Linked DNA regions of Arabidopsis thaliana. The protein of the gene in region 1 interacts with the protein of each later gene in a pairwise test. Each region holds a gene or a part of one and is shown on either strand. Other genes may lie near its edges.

Evidence for each region. The genes of interacting proteins can lie anywhere in the genome.
Region 2: the proteins of TGA6 (region 1) and AT2G02160 interact in binary tests that used the Arabidopsis thaliana proteins (3 or more experiments, as listed by UniProt).
Region 3: the proteins of TGA6 (region 1) and BOP1 interact in a two-hybrid assay, tested with the Arabidopsis thaliana proteins (one study listed by BioGRID).

What each region holds. Positions count from the first base shown.
Region 1 is NC_003074.8:3,904,336-3,909,101, reverse strand, and holds TGA6 (TGACG motif-binding factor 6), read right to left. Parts: upstream 2,752-4,766; coding exon 2,686-2,751; exon of another isoform or gene 2,652-2,685; coding exon 2,577-2,651; exon of another isoform or gene 2,530-2,576; coding exon of another isoform or gene 2,482-2,529; coding exon 2,410-2,481; intron 2,319-2,409; coding exon 2,259-2,318; intron 2,135-2,258; coding exon 2,057-2,134; intron 1,724-2,056; coding exon 1,672-1,723; exon of another isoform or gene 1,423-1,671; intron 1,383-1,422; coding exon 1,111-1,382; exon of another isoform or gene 1,037-1,110; coding exon 791-1,036; intron 666-790; coding exon 519-665; downstream 1-518. Other genes in the region: SCPL15 (serine carboxypeptidase-like 15), read left to right, coding at 4,184-4,317, 4,406-4,551, 4,638-4,714.
Region 2 is NC_003071.7:552,544-558,080, forward strand, and holds AT2G02160 (CCCH-type zinc finger family protein), read right to left. Parts: upstream 3,589-5,537; 5' UTR 3,357-3,588; coding exon 3,216-3,356; intron 2,830-3,215; coding exon 2,719-2,829; intron 2,622-2,718; coding exon 864-2,621; 3' UTR 543-863; downstream 1-542. Other genes in the region: EMB2794 (Tetratricopeptide repeat (TPR)-like superfamily protein), read right to left, coding at 1-82; AT2G02170 (Remorin family protein), read right to left, coding at 4,052-4,258, 4,355-4,436, 4,519-4,972, 5,055-5,537.
Region 3 is NC_003074.8:21,145,794-21,150,780, forward strand, and holds BOP1 (Ankyrin repeat family protein / BTB/POZ domain-containing protein), read left to right. Parts: upstream 1-1,821; 5' UTR 1,822-2,041; coding exon 2,042-2,512; intron 2,513-2,758; coding exon of another isoform or gene 2,759-2,836; exon of another isoform or gene 2,837-2,871; intron 2,872-3,301; coding exon 3,302-4,234; 3' UTR 4,235-4,445; downstream 4,446-4,987. Other genes in the region: SDP1-LIKE (sugar-dependent 1-like protein), read right to left, coding at 4,949-4,987. UniProt on the Arabidopsis thaliana protein: May act as a substrate-specific adapter of an E3 ubiquitin-protein ligase complex (CUL3-RBX1-BTB) which mediates the ubiquitination and subsequent proteasomal degradation of target proteins. Acts redundantly with BOP2.

The DNA.
Region 1 (4,766 bases):
TATGAGTATTTTCTCTGACTCAGGTTGGTTATACATAGTATTAGCCAAACCTCTGTAAGCTTTATGTGTGACAGTGTTTACTGGGCAATCTTGCTATGATTTCAAGATACACAATCTGCTCTCTTTTTTGAACTCTCAATATAAATTGATTTGGTCTGCTGGAGTTTATGATCATACAATCCAAGTTCCTGAAAGGATCCCATCTTCTGTCATGTTGGTAATTGCGACCTTACACTGATCACCTATCCGCTTTGAATATTCAAAGACCTATAAACATTCACTCTATAAAACTATGCAACCTGATGGCTAAAAATTACAACACACACAACACTCGAGTCTTGCGGACCTCAGGAAACCAATTTCAAAACCTGCAGTCTTCTTTCCCAAAATATTGCTTTTGGTAAGAATCTGAGAATGCCTTGCTTTGTGATCGATCTCTTGGAAGGAGTATCCCTGCCGATCTGAGTCATAAGATTATGTATAGGGCTGACTGCTGAGTAGAGCACTATTCTTCTGTTTCACTCTCTTGGCCGGGCAAGCCACAAGGAACTAAGAGCACGTAATCGAGATGAATAATCGTGTATAGCAAGAAGAGCACGAGCTGACTGACGTGTTGTTAATACTCGAAGCATCTGTTGTAGTGTTTGCAGCCTCAAGTTATCAGCCTGCCACCAAGAAATGCCCTATGAACTCCATAACAGACGGATTCATATATAAAATAAAATATTTATCTCTTTGTGACGATGAAAAGATATGGTATATCTCGATAACATCCACATTTCTAAAGTACCTGGCGTATGAATCCTTCGAGGGTGCCTAACTGCCCCATTGCCATGGCCATCTGACCCATGTAGCTCGCGACATTATCCGATGAACTGGAACCAAGAGTTCCACTGGATAAAGTATCAGCTAGGGATTGCTGTAAACTCTCCATCCCTTGAGATAAAGCATCTTCTGCCTGCTGCGACGTCTGCTGCAAGCTATTGATGCCCATTACCTGTCGTTCTGTCATGGGCTCTAGCTGATTCGCAAGAAGCTGTTGTGAAAACACTGCGACTCATTAAGTTGGCTGTTCATCAAAATCTCTCTATGGACTTGGAAAGAGCTTACCTTGAGAAGTTCGGATGAGCGGAACCCGCCAAGCCACAAGAAACATCGCTCAGCTGGTGTTTTCCACATTCCAGATAACAAGTGGAAGACATCATTCTTAGCTGCATTGCTCTTAATCCTGAAAAGCTCCTCATAGTGAGCCATCACTCCATCCACAATTATCCGGAGCTCAGTATCACCTGCATGAGCATTCAGGGCAGATCTCAGCTCGTTCATTTGCCTGTTCTTTTCTTCAAGCCATCGTGAGTGTTCTGCATCAAATGCCAAAGCCCCTGCAGAAAGGCAAGTATACTAGATCAAGAACAAACCCTTGCAGACCTAAGCTAACACCAGCGCAAACTATAAGAAACTTCAGTTTTGACATCACCATGACTTTAATTTCCCATCCAGATCATCACTGACTCTTGAAACCATTAACTCTAACAAGTGTAAGCATATTGCCATGAGATGACTTATGCTATCACCAATTCATCAACATATATGTATATATGCACTTATCTCACATAGAAATTTCAAATCAAAAGGATCAATCTCAAAACTAACAGAGAAGAAACAACCCACCATTGCCACCAGTAGAATGAGCTTGGTCTCCTGAACTTGAGATGAAAACTCCCTAAAATTGAAAAATATATATCCTTAAGTGACAAATACACTGTCATGAGTCATGACAAAGAATCTGATAAGAACCAGAATAGAAATTCTCTGTATGCCATCAACATCCGAATAAACAGACCAGAAGGACCTATTTCGAGAGAGTTACCAGCTACTTTTACCCAACTAAACTATGGATGACCCATAATTCTGTTACCTCCTCTACTTCAGCTAACCCAAGACTAGTACTAACTCGTAACTGACTGTTAGTTATAAGTTGAAGTAGCTTCAGCCTTTTATCTTCTTTATAAAGACATACATATCAGAATCAAAACAAATAAGAAAGTTAATAAACCTGCTGTCTTGCTCTTTGCAGCTCCTGCTCAAGTTGAGTCAGCTTTAATCGACTATTCTCCAGCTGCTGAACATACGCCTATGGAGGAAACAATAACATGCTTAAGGTAATGACAGATAGATATTCTTCTAGAGATATTACAAGGAAATAAGAGGAATATATAAGAAAAATCAAAACAAGAACAAAAGCAAAATATACATACCTTCTTCCTCAATCTGCTTTTTCTTGCTGCCTCACGATTTTGAGCAAGCCTACGAAGGGTCTATGGATCAAAACGAAAAGGAAACAAAACAGATTATGCATATGCGTAATATACACAGATGCTAGTTGATCCACAGAGATGAATCTATCACCTTTTGATCCAACTTATCCTTTGATCGATCACTGGAATCAGAGGCAGCAGCATGCATATGCCCTCTATCAGACTGCATGTAATCAACATCAGGAATTACTGTTTCATTCAAACTATGCATGTTTGATGAACATAAGCAAATGACTAGTCCTGTGGATTTGGCTATACCGGTAGAATGCCCCAAGTTTTACCAAGGGATTCCGGTACAAGCCTCCCAGGAGTGACATTGTAGAGATAATAAAACTATAAAATGATTAGAGCCAGATTACGAGCTAACCCCCAGATCTCTATGATCTGTGTCACCATCAGTTGAGACATCAGTCCTTGAACTGGTATCAGCCATACTAGTTTCTGTACTAATACTTGAGCAAACACTATCCACTTGTGCTCCCTTTTGCAATGATAACCTTTCACCTCTGGTGCAGAGTTTCACACTAGAGGGAGGAAAAGCTGCCAAGAGGAAAGAGAAAAGATGATTATGAAAGAAATTAACAGATAGCAGAGAGAGAGAACTGCATCAGTTTGGAATTTGGGCACACTCACAAGTATCAAGTTATTGGCTCACGGAAACCAGCTTAAGTCACACTGCAAGACAACGGTTCAAGTACTAACATGGACTGAAACAAAACAGCGGATTCAAAATCTAACACAAGCGAGAACTAAGCTTATAACACAAGCGAGAACTAAGCTTATAGCAGCTGATCACTCAAACCAATAACTCATCACCAAGGATTCAAAATCTATGACTCTTAACAGAATTCAACAGACACATGAAATTCAAAGCATACTAACATTTGAAATCCATAAGGATTCATCAAGATAATTCGATGGAATTTGGTTGCTGAAAACGTCATCAAATGAACAAAAAAAACTTGAAACTTTATAAGCTTCTGAAAGTCAACTAAGTCTTAATTTCCAAAGGCAAATCACAAAGTGAGAAAAAGTAAGCTTTCCAATGACTAAAGTAAAACAAAGAAGGAGGAAACTTCAAACAAAAGAAAAAGAAAAGAAAAAGGAAAGAAACAAAACCCAAAAAACAAAAGAGCTTGAGTTGCAGAAAGCAAGAAGCTCACCTGAAAAAAACTGAAATCTCCTGTCTGAGTAAAAGGTTGTCCGAAATCGGATTGAAAGAAGAAGAAGCAGCAGAGACACGATCCGTAATTACAATCTCTGAGACGTCGATTTGTCTACAAACCCACCATCCCAAAAAGAAACATCGACAAATTTAACGGGAATTTGCAAACTAACCCCCCATACTATTCTTGTTACCCCTAACGAACTCTATAGTCTTAGCTTTACAAATATTACCCCATACAAATTTATTGAACCGGTTCAAACTGTCAACCGGTCCGGTTTTCTAGGCAATGCTGAAATCATTAAACAATAATTTGTCCTATGTCATGTGCAATAAAATAACCTGCAAAGCATTTTACATGGGACTTTGTCCCTTCTGGCCTTCCACGTACATTCTCACGTCAAGTGCCCAAGTGTTTTCAGCTCAAACCCTCAATTTCAATTCGTTAACCAGTTGGCAGTTGGTAATTGAAGGAGAAAACAAACTCTAAACACCTTTACATCCAAAGGAAAACTAAACAGATTAATTGGAACTGGTTAGAGAGACTAACCCGAATTGTCTCGGGTATAGATATTGCAATTGACCGGTTTATAGAACCATACTCAACCGAAAAGATTCCATCTTTGTTTTGGGTCAACGCCTCTGCTTTTGAGTTTTGAGTATATATAAAAAATGTTAAAACTCAAAAACTAAAACAAGAATGGCTTCCTGGATATTCAAGTTGCTGCTGCTGCTGCAATGTGTGCTTGTGTTGATTCAACATGCTGATTCAAGTTCTATCATCAGATATCTTCCTGGTTTTGAAGGCCCTCTTCCATTCGAGCTCGAAACCGGGTTCTTTTCCTCTGCATTTTCATTTCCATATTACCCCTATAATGTATGTATGACGCTGTGTTCTGAGTTTTAGAGTTACATAATGAAGGTATATTGGTGTTGGTCAAAAAGAGGAAGATCAACTGTTCTACTACTTCATCAAATCTGAGAACAATCCAGAAGAAGACCCTCTTCTTGTCTGGTTAACTGGAGGACCTGGCTGCTCTTCTTTCTCTGGTCTTGTTTATGAGAATGGTAAAATAAAAATCTCTTAACTCTTTCTCATTTGTCGTCTCTGCATACTATTCAGTAACTTGTTTGAATTGAAAAACAAAAATCAGGGCCACTTGCTTTCAAGGTTGAGACTTACAATGGAAGTGTACCGACGTTGGTTTCTACCACATATTCATGGACTAAGGTAAAACACCAGTTTTGTACTCCTGATTACAAACCCAACTAATGAAACTCTT
Region 2 (5,537 bases), on another chromosome or scaffold:
GAGAGAGGGAAGAAGAAGAAGGGCTTACATGGCGAGGGAATCTGCGATTAACGTGAAGAAAATTGCGAAGAGAACAGAACATTTTCAGGAAAAAAGTTAAAAGTGAATAGAATGAGCCTCATGGTTTAACTCAGAGACATTGTATTCTATGGTATTCAACTATTCTACTGAAGAGGAAGGAAGGAGAAGAAGAAGAAGAAAGTAGGGTTTATGAAGAACTCTGGGTTTTGTTGCTTTTTTCCACCAAGTCTATTTCTTTACCTGTTGTTGTTCTTGTTTGTAAAATAATGATTTATGGGCCTTTGGAAACGGGCTACATAGGCCCAAAAGTTATAATTCTGGGCCCAGTCTTCTTTTTCTCATAACATTTTTTAACTCAGGGTTAATTAGATTGGTCGACTAAATTCGTAAATACTTTAAAGTTGATTGGTGGAAATCAGTTACATAATTACTCATGTTATGGAAAGGGCAAAAACAATAATGCTAAAGTGGTATTACATCATTCATGGTATGCAAGTGCAAAAACAATAATGATAAAAGGTGTTAAAAGCTAAAATAAGTTATTTACTGTAAATACTTTTTAATTTGAGGAAAAAGTAATATATCAAAACAGATTAGAAAACAGTAAAACTCAGAAATATGATATGGTGTACTTGTACCATTGTTTCTTTTCTTTCTTCTCTAGTGTTACAATTTAAGAAATCACAGTAAGAAAAAATGGCGACTAAAACTCAGTGCCAAGCCAAAGATAAAAGCGACTCGTATTATTTGCTCTACGACTTCTTCTCTCCATTTGCATTAAGCAGAGAGAGAGAGAGAGAGGAAAGGAGCAAAAGCTTTTTTCTGTGTTACTCTTTCTTCTTTTATGACAACATCTCAACGGTCTTCTTCTCAATGTCTTCTTCACCCTCACCTTCACCTCCTTCTGTTGCTTCTTCTTCTCCTTCCTCAGCCGCGTAAACTACTTCTTCACCTTCTTCGTAAGCGTATTCTCCTCCCTCTTCTTCATATCCTTCTTCGTAATAGTACTCTCCGTTTAGCTCATCGCCTTCATAAGCTTGCTCGTCTTCATTTCCTTCATACACTTCCTCCCCAACAATTTCTTCTTCCTCCATAACCGTTCCTTCTTCTTCTACTTCAGCTTTGGGTTCAGAGACAACCTCGGTTTTCTCTTCGGTTATGAGTTTGATCTCATCTCCAGCTTCCTCTTTCGATATCGTCTCGTCCTTGTTGTTGTTTCTGCTACCACCAGATGCGGCCGCTTTTTTTCTCTTGAGAATCTCACTGAAAGGCAATGGAGCTGCAAATGAATCCCTTGATCGCTTATGACTATGATGATCCTCTTCAAAGCTTTTCCTCTTCCCAAGAGATGGCTCTGGCTTACTTTCCTCTCTGCTGCTTTTAGGAGCTGATTTTCTTTCGTCTTCCATTTCTCTTCTTCTCGCCCATGGAGCCCCGAAACCTCTTTCCTGATTACCACTATGGTTTTCCTCTAACCTACCCTTAATTCTATCTCGGAGTCTACCCTGAGAAGGTAACTCGCTTCTGTCCCTTCCCCTCTCACTTCTCCTGTCAAAGTGGTGACCCTCTTCGCCATTGCTTCTCTCACGAAGCTTAATTCTACCCTGAAGACGACTACTGCTAATGGAGTTTTCCCTCGGTGTATCCCTACGAGACTCTCTATATCCTCTGTCCATCGAAGAGTCAGGAGCAGCATAGTCATGGCCTCCTACTGATAATCTCATACCATTGCCTTTTCTCTGCTTAGCCAAACGATATCTCAGATCCGATTCCAGTATGTTCTCTGATCTCTCATCTTCTGCGTAAACCCTTCTGTCCAAACGATCCTCTCTCTCAGAAGAAACTCGACGATGGCCCCATCCCCTGTCTTCCCTCCGATCATATGAATCAAAACGTTGTTCACGTAATGCTTCTTTATCACCATCAGCAATTGCACTGAAATCAGGGTCATACTCTGAGTTCCCTCTCTCCTGACTTCTACGTCCATATCGATCTTCAACATGATAATACTCAGAATCTCCAGCCTCATTATCCACAAGAACATCAAACCCAGGAGACGACTCTCTTAAAACGTCATCTGCATCCTTACCATTGTGGAAACTGTTATTATCATCAGATCCATATTTCTGAAGCAACTGAGTAGAATGGCCTCCTTCAGTAAAAGAAGGGAATCCTGGACCCTTTCTCTGCACAACAGGCTCATATCCCACATGGTTTGGAATGTATCCCTCTACACTTCTACTATCCCTTAGTCCAGTAGAAGCGACTCTTGGTGCAGCCGATATGTCAGTATGTCCTTTAACCACCTTTGAGAGATTAACATCAGGAAGTTTCTTCTCCTCAGTGTTATTTTCAATTGGCTTTTTAGAACACTGAGGATCAGTAGCAGGCTTAGCTTCTACAGGATGCTGTTTTTTATACGCAGCAGGATTCGGCGTGTGCAAGAACGAACACATATCTCCTTTCATACACATGCCTTTTTGAAAGAACAGACATGGAACAGGCTGTTTTGCAACACTAGGATGCTGCGCGGTTGCATGTATTGGCTGTACAGAAACAGCAGGAGCACCTCCTTGATTTCCCAACAATCCCTCCAAAGGCTGTAAGAAAACAAAACCACAAACATAAGCACACTTTGATAATACAACTCAAGAAGCTCAAGCAGAGACTATCTATTGAGGAAGAAAGTAAACTCACAGGATGCCGAAATCCACATTTGGGATTCAAACAGTTTCCATTCAACCAATAATAGCAATCCCTCGGGTTCATACGCGCATACTCACTGTGGCGATACTCGCATTCAGGTCCCTGTAAGCAAAAAAGGAAGAAACCATAAGAATCGTTCTTCAGCATAAACATACACATCGAGCAAAAATCATATTCACAGAACATGAAAATCTCCTTTATCAGAACATCCTTATAAAGCTTTGTATATGTAATTTTCAATCTAGCTAACAAGAAGCCCTAAGAAACAACAATACTTAGAATCACGAGGTTCGAAATCACCAGATCTAAATCTCGCACCAAAATTAAGCAGATGGAGAAGTGAAGTATGTATAGATAGCTTCGAGGGACACAAAAACACAGAGAAACTTGAAATCGGGTGAAAGAAACTTGAGATCTCAAATCCAAAACCCTAATTGAAGCAGAAACTGGATAAGATCTAAGCGAAACAATAATCAAAAATCAATTACCTTCTTGCAGGTTAAAGGAGAAGCGAGAAAGTAAACGCAATCGGTGTTCCACTTCAAAGCATCTTCTTCAGCAGATGAAACAGTCTCTGATTGCTTCTTCTGCTCATGTTGCTGTTGCGGTTGAGTCGCAGGCGCAAACATTATTATTACTTGGAAATTTCTGAATCTCTCTTTCAAGTAGATCGCAAGGTTTCAGATCGAAACCCTAGGAAGATCGAAAATCACCGATTCAGAGAGAGTCCCGTGGAAGAAGAAGAAGAAGACGAGCCGCCACAAAGAGCGCACCAGAGAGAAACTCGCGACTGTGTGTGTGTGCCCTTTAAAGCTAAGCCTAAAAGTTTTTTTTTTTGGCTCTTTTTTTTTCTTATGTGATGGGAAATATCAATAGATCAAGTTCGGTTTATTTGTAATCAATCAAATACTGACACGTGGGGATTTATTATTGGTTTATTTGTTAGCCATATTGTTTGCCTTGATATTATAACTTCTGATGGAACCAGCGACTTTGGAATGTTGTGAAATAGACAATGATAAGGTGATTTAAACCGAACTTGAACCAAAATTGTAAACCGATTGGTAGATCTTTTACAATCAAACATTGGTAAGGAAATCTAACCAAAATTAAATCCAAACCAAAATCAAAACTTTGGTTTTCACTTTGGTAAGGACATCTTGAACCGAGTAATTCGAAGATCTCTCAAAACCAAAATTTGAAGATGTACAAAGCAACTAAAAGATCACAAGAAATAAGTTTTTCAAAGCTTTTATTATACAAATGATGATAGAAAGATGTGTTCTTGAGAATTAACAACATCACATTCACAATAGGATTGGATTTAAGAACAAAAGCTAAAGCAAGAGAACAACAATGAAGGTACTTTGCCTGTTCTTCGGATTTGTTCAGCTTGTTTCTCTGTTTTAGCTGCCTGATGATCCTTCTTTGCTTCAGCCGCTGCTCGCTTTTCCTCTGCTTTGCGCTCGATTGTAGCGAGTTTCTTCATCAACCGGTCTTGTGCTCGTCCCTTAATCCTCTCAACTTTAACCTACAATATCAAGAACTCCACCATCATCATTCATGTTTTTCCAAGTTTGTTCACAATCATGACTTGAACTTACGTAGCTATGTTAGTGTAGTTTACCTCGGTTTTCTTCATCTCGGCTTCAGATTTCGCCTTCTGATGATTCTCCCATGCTTGAATCTTCATCTCTTCGCGTCTGAACCTGGAGATTACAGAACTCATCATAAGCTTAAAGTTTCGAGAATAACTAGAGGACTATGACAAACAATTCAACTTTGGACTACCTAGCCATGTGCTTAGCTTTTTCCGCTTCCTCCCACGCTGTAGCACGAGCTTCAGAAACACTTTTAGAAGTTTGTAGAGAAGCTTTGGTCTTTAATGATGTGGATGCGTCTTTATCTTCATCCTCCTTGCTAGCCCAAGCAGCAATGTTAAATTTACCAAGTTGAGTACCCAACACCATTATCTCTCTCCTAGTTTTCATTTGAAGCTCTTTCTCTGACAGTTCCTTGTTACTCATAGGAGAAGCTGATGCTTGTCTGCCTGGACTTGAAGGTTCAGAAGATATAGGACTTCGTATTGGCGTTGTTGCCCTAATCGGTGTCCCGTTTCTAGAAGGTTCTTGGCTCGCTATAGGAGTCATTTCAGTTCCCATGTCTCTCATTGACACAGACCTTGCCGTTGAAGGCGGTTGAGCAAACGCAGTTGCGACTGACGAGTCATGACGGCTGAGATTAACTGCAAGAAAGCAAGTAAAATTGGCTTTAGAAGATAAATAGAGCATACAAACTGAATAACTCAAAGAGCTAGCTAACACCACCTTCAGTTGCTGATTCTACAATAGAGTTCTCAACCATAAGAACCGGTTTGACATATGAATCCACGGTAGTGTACGAATCAACTTCCCAGCTACCAAACTTGTTTCCCATATCCTTTTTCACTTGGCTTACATCTATTCTCTTTGTATCAGGCTCTTCAACCACTCTATGTTCAGCAACTTCAACAATCTTCATAGAAGACTGACGACCAAAGCTAGGCCCTTTCTTCGAACCCGGAACCTGAACCTGTCCAGTCTTCGGTCGGTTAGCCGTAGGACTAGCAATCCATTTCTGAGCATCATCCCATTTAGATGGAGCTGGTTTAGAGAATGATCTAATAGGCATTCTTTGATTAACTTTTTCCTTCTCAGTCTTTTGAAACTCAAAGACAGATGATGCAGAAACACTCTTGATCTCATTCACATTATCATAATCAGAATACTCTTGAAGACCCAAACTAATCGATCTAGCTATCCCTGAAGTAG
Region 3 (4,987 bases), about 17 Mb from region 1:
GAGAACAATAATATTTGTTAGAAGATTTTTACTTATTCATATTCAACTTGTATAATATATATTATTGACGAATAAAAGCTCCTGAACTTAATTAACGTTTTTCTGGGTAATAAGTTTGCACGCCTCTCCTCTGTAACATAATCAATTATCATCATGGTCCATGGACATGAAGGTTTTATTTTTATTTTTTGGTTCGGTTAGAGAAACTTCATAATCATTTACGTTCTTTTCAAAATCCTAATTTTTATGAACATGTAGGAAATAAAGAGATTATGTAATGTGATGTAGGATAAAAAGTGGGGAAACAAGAGAAGAGACGGTCAGAAATGGACCAACGGTCAAACACCAGACCATCAAATCACATTCACTTAAGTTAGTACAGTGGAGACTTTCATTGGTTTTGCCTTAACGAATTAGGCCAATGTTCTTATCCATCACCGTCCTGTCCAGTTTACCATTTTATCCCATCTTTATACATAATTATATTAGCAATTTAATACGCATGCATATGGGTTCGAATAGTGATCATGGTTGGTCTGTTCTTTTTCTGCGATAAATGTGGTGAATGCTTTAAAAAAAAAAAAAAGTTTCATGGACGTGTCGTGCCGTGACGACTGACGATGGCACACATATAAATGCGACACACACGATAAAACATTGTAAATATGGTCGATCCAAACCAACAGGAGAAAAATAAATCGATTCAAACCAACAATTAAAAGAATAATAATAGAAATTACCCTAAAATATGACACTTATTAAATTTTTATTTCAAAAATACGATAATTAGTTTATTTTTCTAATAATACCACAAATTTTTATGTAAAATATTTTTATTCAATCAAAAGAAATTACAAATAAAATTAAAATATTATATTAAGTTTCCTATTTTCAATTTAAAGTTTGTATTTCCTCCATTTAAGTAGAGTTTTGGAAGAAAAACTCAAAAATGTGGTATTTAGAGAATTTCCCCAATTTTGAATGTTAAATTTTTTTGGTTGAGATCAATTAATTTGCTTAATTTCTCTATCATTTTACTGCACAATCTTTCGACTTCATCACCATTATACTAAAATGCACAATTATATTCTTATGGTATCTCTCTAACCTTAGTTTGCCCATTAAAAAAAAAAATGGCATCTCTCTAATCTCTAAACCACTTTTTTCATCGAAGTAGTCCTCATTTTATTAGCATTAGGTGACGCAGACACCCCATATATATGATGAAAAAAAAAAAATATATATATATACATGTTTTTATGTTATATAATATGATATCGTTGATTAAGTTTCACGTATGTCGTGAACCAAGCCAAAAAGACAGTTGCCAAAGGCTCTTTTTCATGATTTTATTTTCCTTGCAACTAATTTAGTTCGTGATTATGTATACGACTAAGTGTTACGTGACACACGGGGTTGATTTGGGTCCATAGTTAGTCGGTAGCTAATGATATTTACATATCTTATGATTATTAAAATACTTAAATCTCTCTCTATTTCTTTCTACTTTTATATTCACAAAACTAATCATTTCATCTTTTATATTCGATTGCCCCCAAATGGATACGGCCCATACTTCTATGCTTAACATACCCTTTTCTCACTTTGTCATTTCTCTCTAAACTCTAATTACTGATATGCTTCTGATGACAAAAAAAAATCAAATACTACAAAACTCCAAATGCTAGTGGCCAATAAATAAAAGCACAAACGTCGACATTAATCATTTTATTATAAATTTAATTCGAGACCCCCCGGTCCGCCCATTCAGATCTCTGTCTCTTTCTCTCACTATATCTATCTATCTACCCACAAACCAATCTTCTAAACACTATAGTCTCTCTCTCTCTTCTTCATCTTCTCCATAAGCTTCTAAAGATATATAAAAGCTTGTGACTCTTCTTCACTTAAAGAAATATTTGCTTACGAAAGAAAACCCTATTCTATATATCCTACAGCATACTAAAATCAAAGGGTACGACATTTTTTTCGTTCTTTTAAAACCCTAATTTGTTGTATCAAAGAAATCAACAAAGGAGCTATGAGCAATACTTTCGAAGAATCACTCAAATCTATGTCATTGGATTACCTAAACCTCTTAATCAACGGTCAAGCTTTCTCCGATGTCACTTTCAGCGTCGAAGGCCGTCTAGTCCACGCTCACCGTTGCATCCTCGCTGCTCGTAGCCTCTTCTTCCGCAAATTCTTCTGTGAATCTGATCCTTCGCAACCCGGAGCTGAACCCGCTAACCAAACCGGATCAGGAGCCAGAGCAGCCGCAGTAGGAGGAGTCATACCGGTTAACTCAGTCGGTTACGAAGTTTTCTTACTTCTACTTCAATTCTTGTACAGTGGTCAAGTCTCAATTGTACCACATAAGCACGAGCCAAGATCGAATTGTGGAGATAGAGGATGCTGGCACACGCATTGCACTGCAGCCGTCGATCTCTCTTTAGATATTTTAGCCGCCGCTCGCTACTTTGGCGTCGAGCAGCTCGCGTTGCTTACTCAGGTACTAATTATCTTTATTTAGGTTAATGATTCTTGTTCTTTGATCTTGATCTTGGTAAACTAATCTACGGATTTGTTTTAGTTTGGTTCGGTTGAGATGAATTCTGAAACTCTATATATTGATCATGATAAACATTTTTTTGTTGAAGACTATTAACAATAAACATATGTGGATATATAGATAGGAGTTGTTATTTTCTTGATTTCATGTGTAACTAAGCTTAAAGATTGCTTGCATTGCACGTAGTGCAACTTTCTTTCCAGATTTAGACGGCAATGGACTGATGTGTTTTGCACACCGAGAAATTTCCTTAAAATGGAATGATGCTTTTATTTTTTTAATATACATACTCTTTATTTAGTAGAAAATATCTTCTAAAATAGTAACTTGGAGAAAAAAACAGTGATTTTATTAGTAGTCCCAAAAATTGAGAATTGTCTTAATCATTCATTCTGCGATTTTGCATGATATTAGTAATCGCATATTTGTGAGGATCGCTGTTTCCGTTCAGCATTCCCGCAATTTCTCAAATGCAATGACCTAATTTAAAAGAATTTTATCATTTTATAGGCTTTTAGTGTAACTAGATTTTTCTCGCTTAAGCAATTTTGCCATTTCATTTTGTATTCTTCTCCATATATAATAATCTCTTGAACCATAGTCGCGTGAAACAACTCCTTTATAATGAAAATGATATTCATCCAATGAAATGGAAGTGGTGGATATATAGTGTCTCTAACTTCAATATTGTTTTGTCTTTAAAGCCAACTGTGTTTTTTTCCCTCACAGAAACATTTGACAAGTATGGTGGAGAAAGCCTCCATTGAAGATGTGATGAAAGTGCTCATAGCTTCAAGAAAGCAAGACATGCATCAATTATGGACTACTTGCTCTTACTTAATCGCCAAATCCGGTCTTCCACAAGAGATTCTAGCCAAACATCTCCCAATCGAACTTGTAGCCAAGATTGAGGAGCTCCGTCTCAAATCTTCAATGCCTCTCCGTTCACTAATGCCTCACCACCATGACCTAACCTCGACTTTAGACCTCGAAGACCAGAAGATCAGGAGGATGAGACGTGCATTGGACTCCTCTGATGTCGAGCTTGTGAAGCTAATGGTGATGGGAGAAGGACTCAATCTAGATGAGTCCCTAGCTTTGATTTACGCGGTTGAAAATTGTAGTAGAGAGGTTGTAAAGGCACTTCTTGAGCTTGGAGCAGCTGATGTGAACTATCCCGCGGGTCCCACAGGGAAAACCGCTCTTCACATTGCGGCTGAAATGGTGTCTCCGGACATGGTGGCTGTTTTACTCGACCACCACGCCGACCCTAACGTCCAGACAGTGGATGGAATCACTCCTCTCGACATCCTTCGAACCCTAACGTCAGATTTTTTGTTCAAGGGGGCAATTCCTGGATTGACTCACATTGAGCCCAATAAGCTTAGGCTTTGTCTCGAGCTGGTCCAGTCCGCGGCATTGGTTATATCACGCGAAGAAGGAAACAATAACAGTAACGATAACAACACAATGATCTACCCTAGGATGAAAGACGAACACACGAGCGGAAGTAGTTTGGATTCAAGATTGGTTTATCTGAATCTTGGTGCTACAAATCGTGATATTGGAGATGACAATAGCAATCAAAGGGAAGGAATGAATCTGCATCATCATCATCATGACCCATCAACGATGTATCATCACCACCACCACCATTTCTAGGTCTTTTTGTAGTCCCTATCATCCTTTTTTGATAACCATCATCCTTTAATTAAGATAAACATATTCAATATCTAATTAAATTGTTGTTATGGTATTCTTTTTTTCTCTATGTATATGGCCATGCGAACAAATTTAAACGTTAACTCCATGGAGTCATGGAGAGTGGAAGGGAACACAAACAAAAGGGTCATTTATATATAGATGGATAAAGATCTTGAGTTATATCTTGACATGTATAAGCTTGATTAATATTAGGTCGTTGGATTTACATTATTCAATTTTCTTATAATCAAACAATGCATTACAGTGATCTTGATCGTAGCATTTCCTTTCCTTTTGGGTAAAGTGAGGCTAAAAAAAACAATAATAGCAAAGAAAAAAAGCCAACATTTATGGAAGTGTCAATGTCATCACCACTACAATATGTACATTAGTGTATTCAAAGACAAACAACAAATGGTCGGAGCTTGTAACTTTGTAGCCATATGAAAAATACAAATCCTGCAATAATATAATAACATTACTTCTGCTCCGAAGGAAAAAAATAGTTTGGTGAAACTTGAAAATTGAAGAAGCTTTGTGGCTAAAATAAGATTTTCTCAAAACTAGAGGACTACTCTACAAAATTTTGAAGCACTGTATAGGTTTTGCAACCTAGTCCTTTAGAAGAGAGGAAATTCTCTTTGACTTGGTCAGTCATAAGTGTCTACAGTGTTACTCATGGTCATGGATTAGATTCGCCTGAGCGTCTCC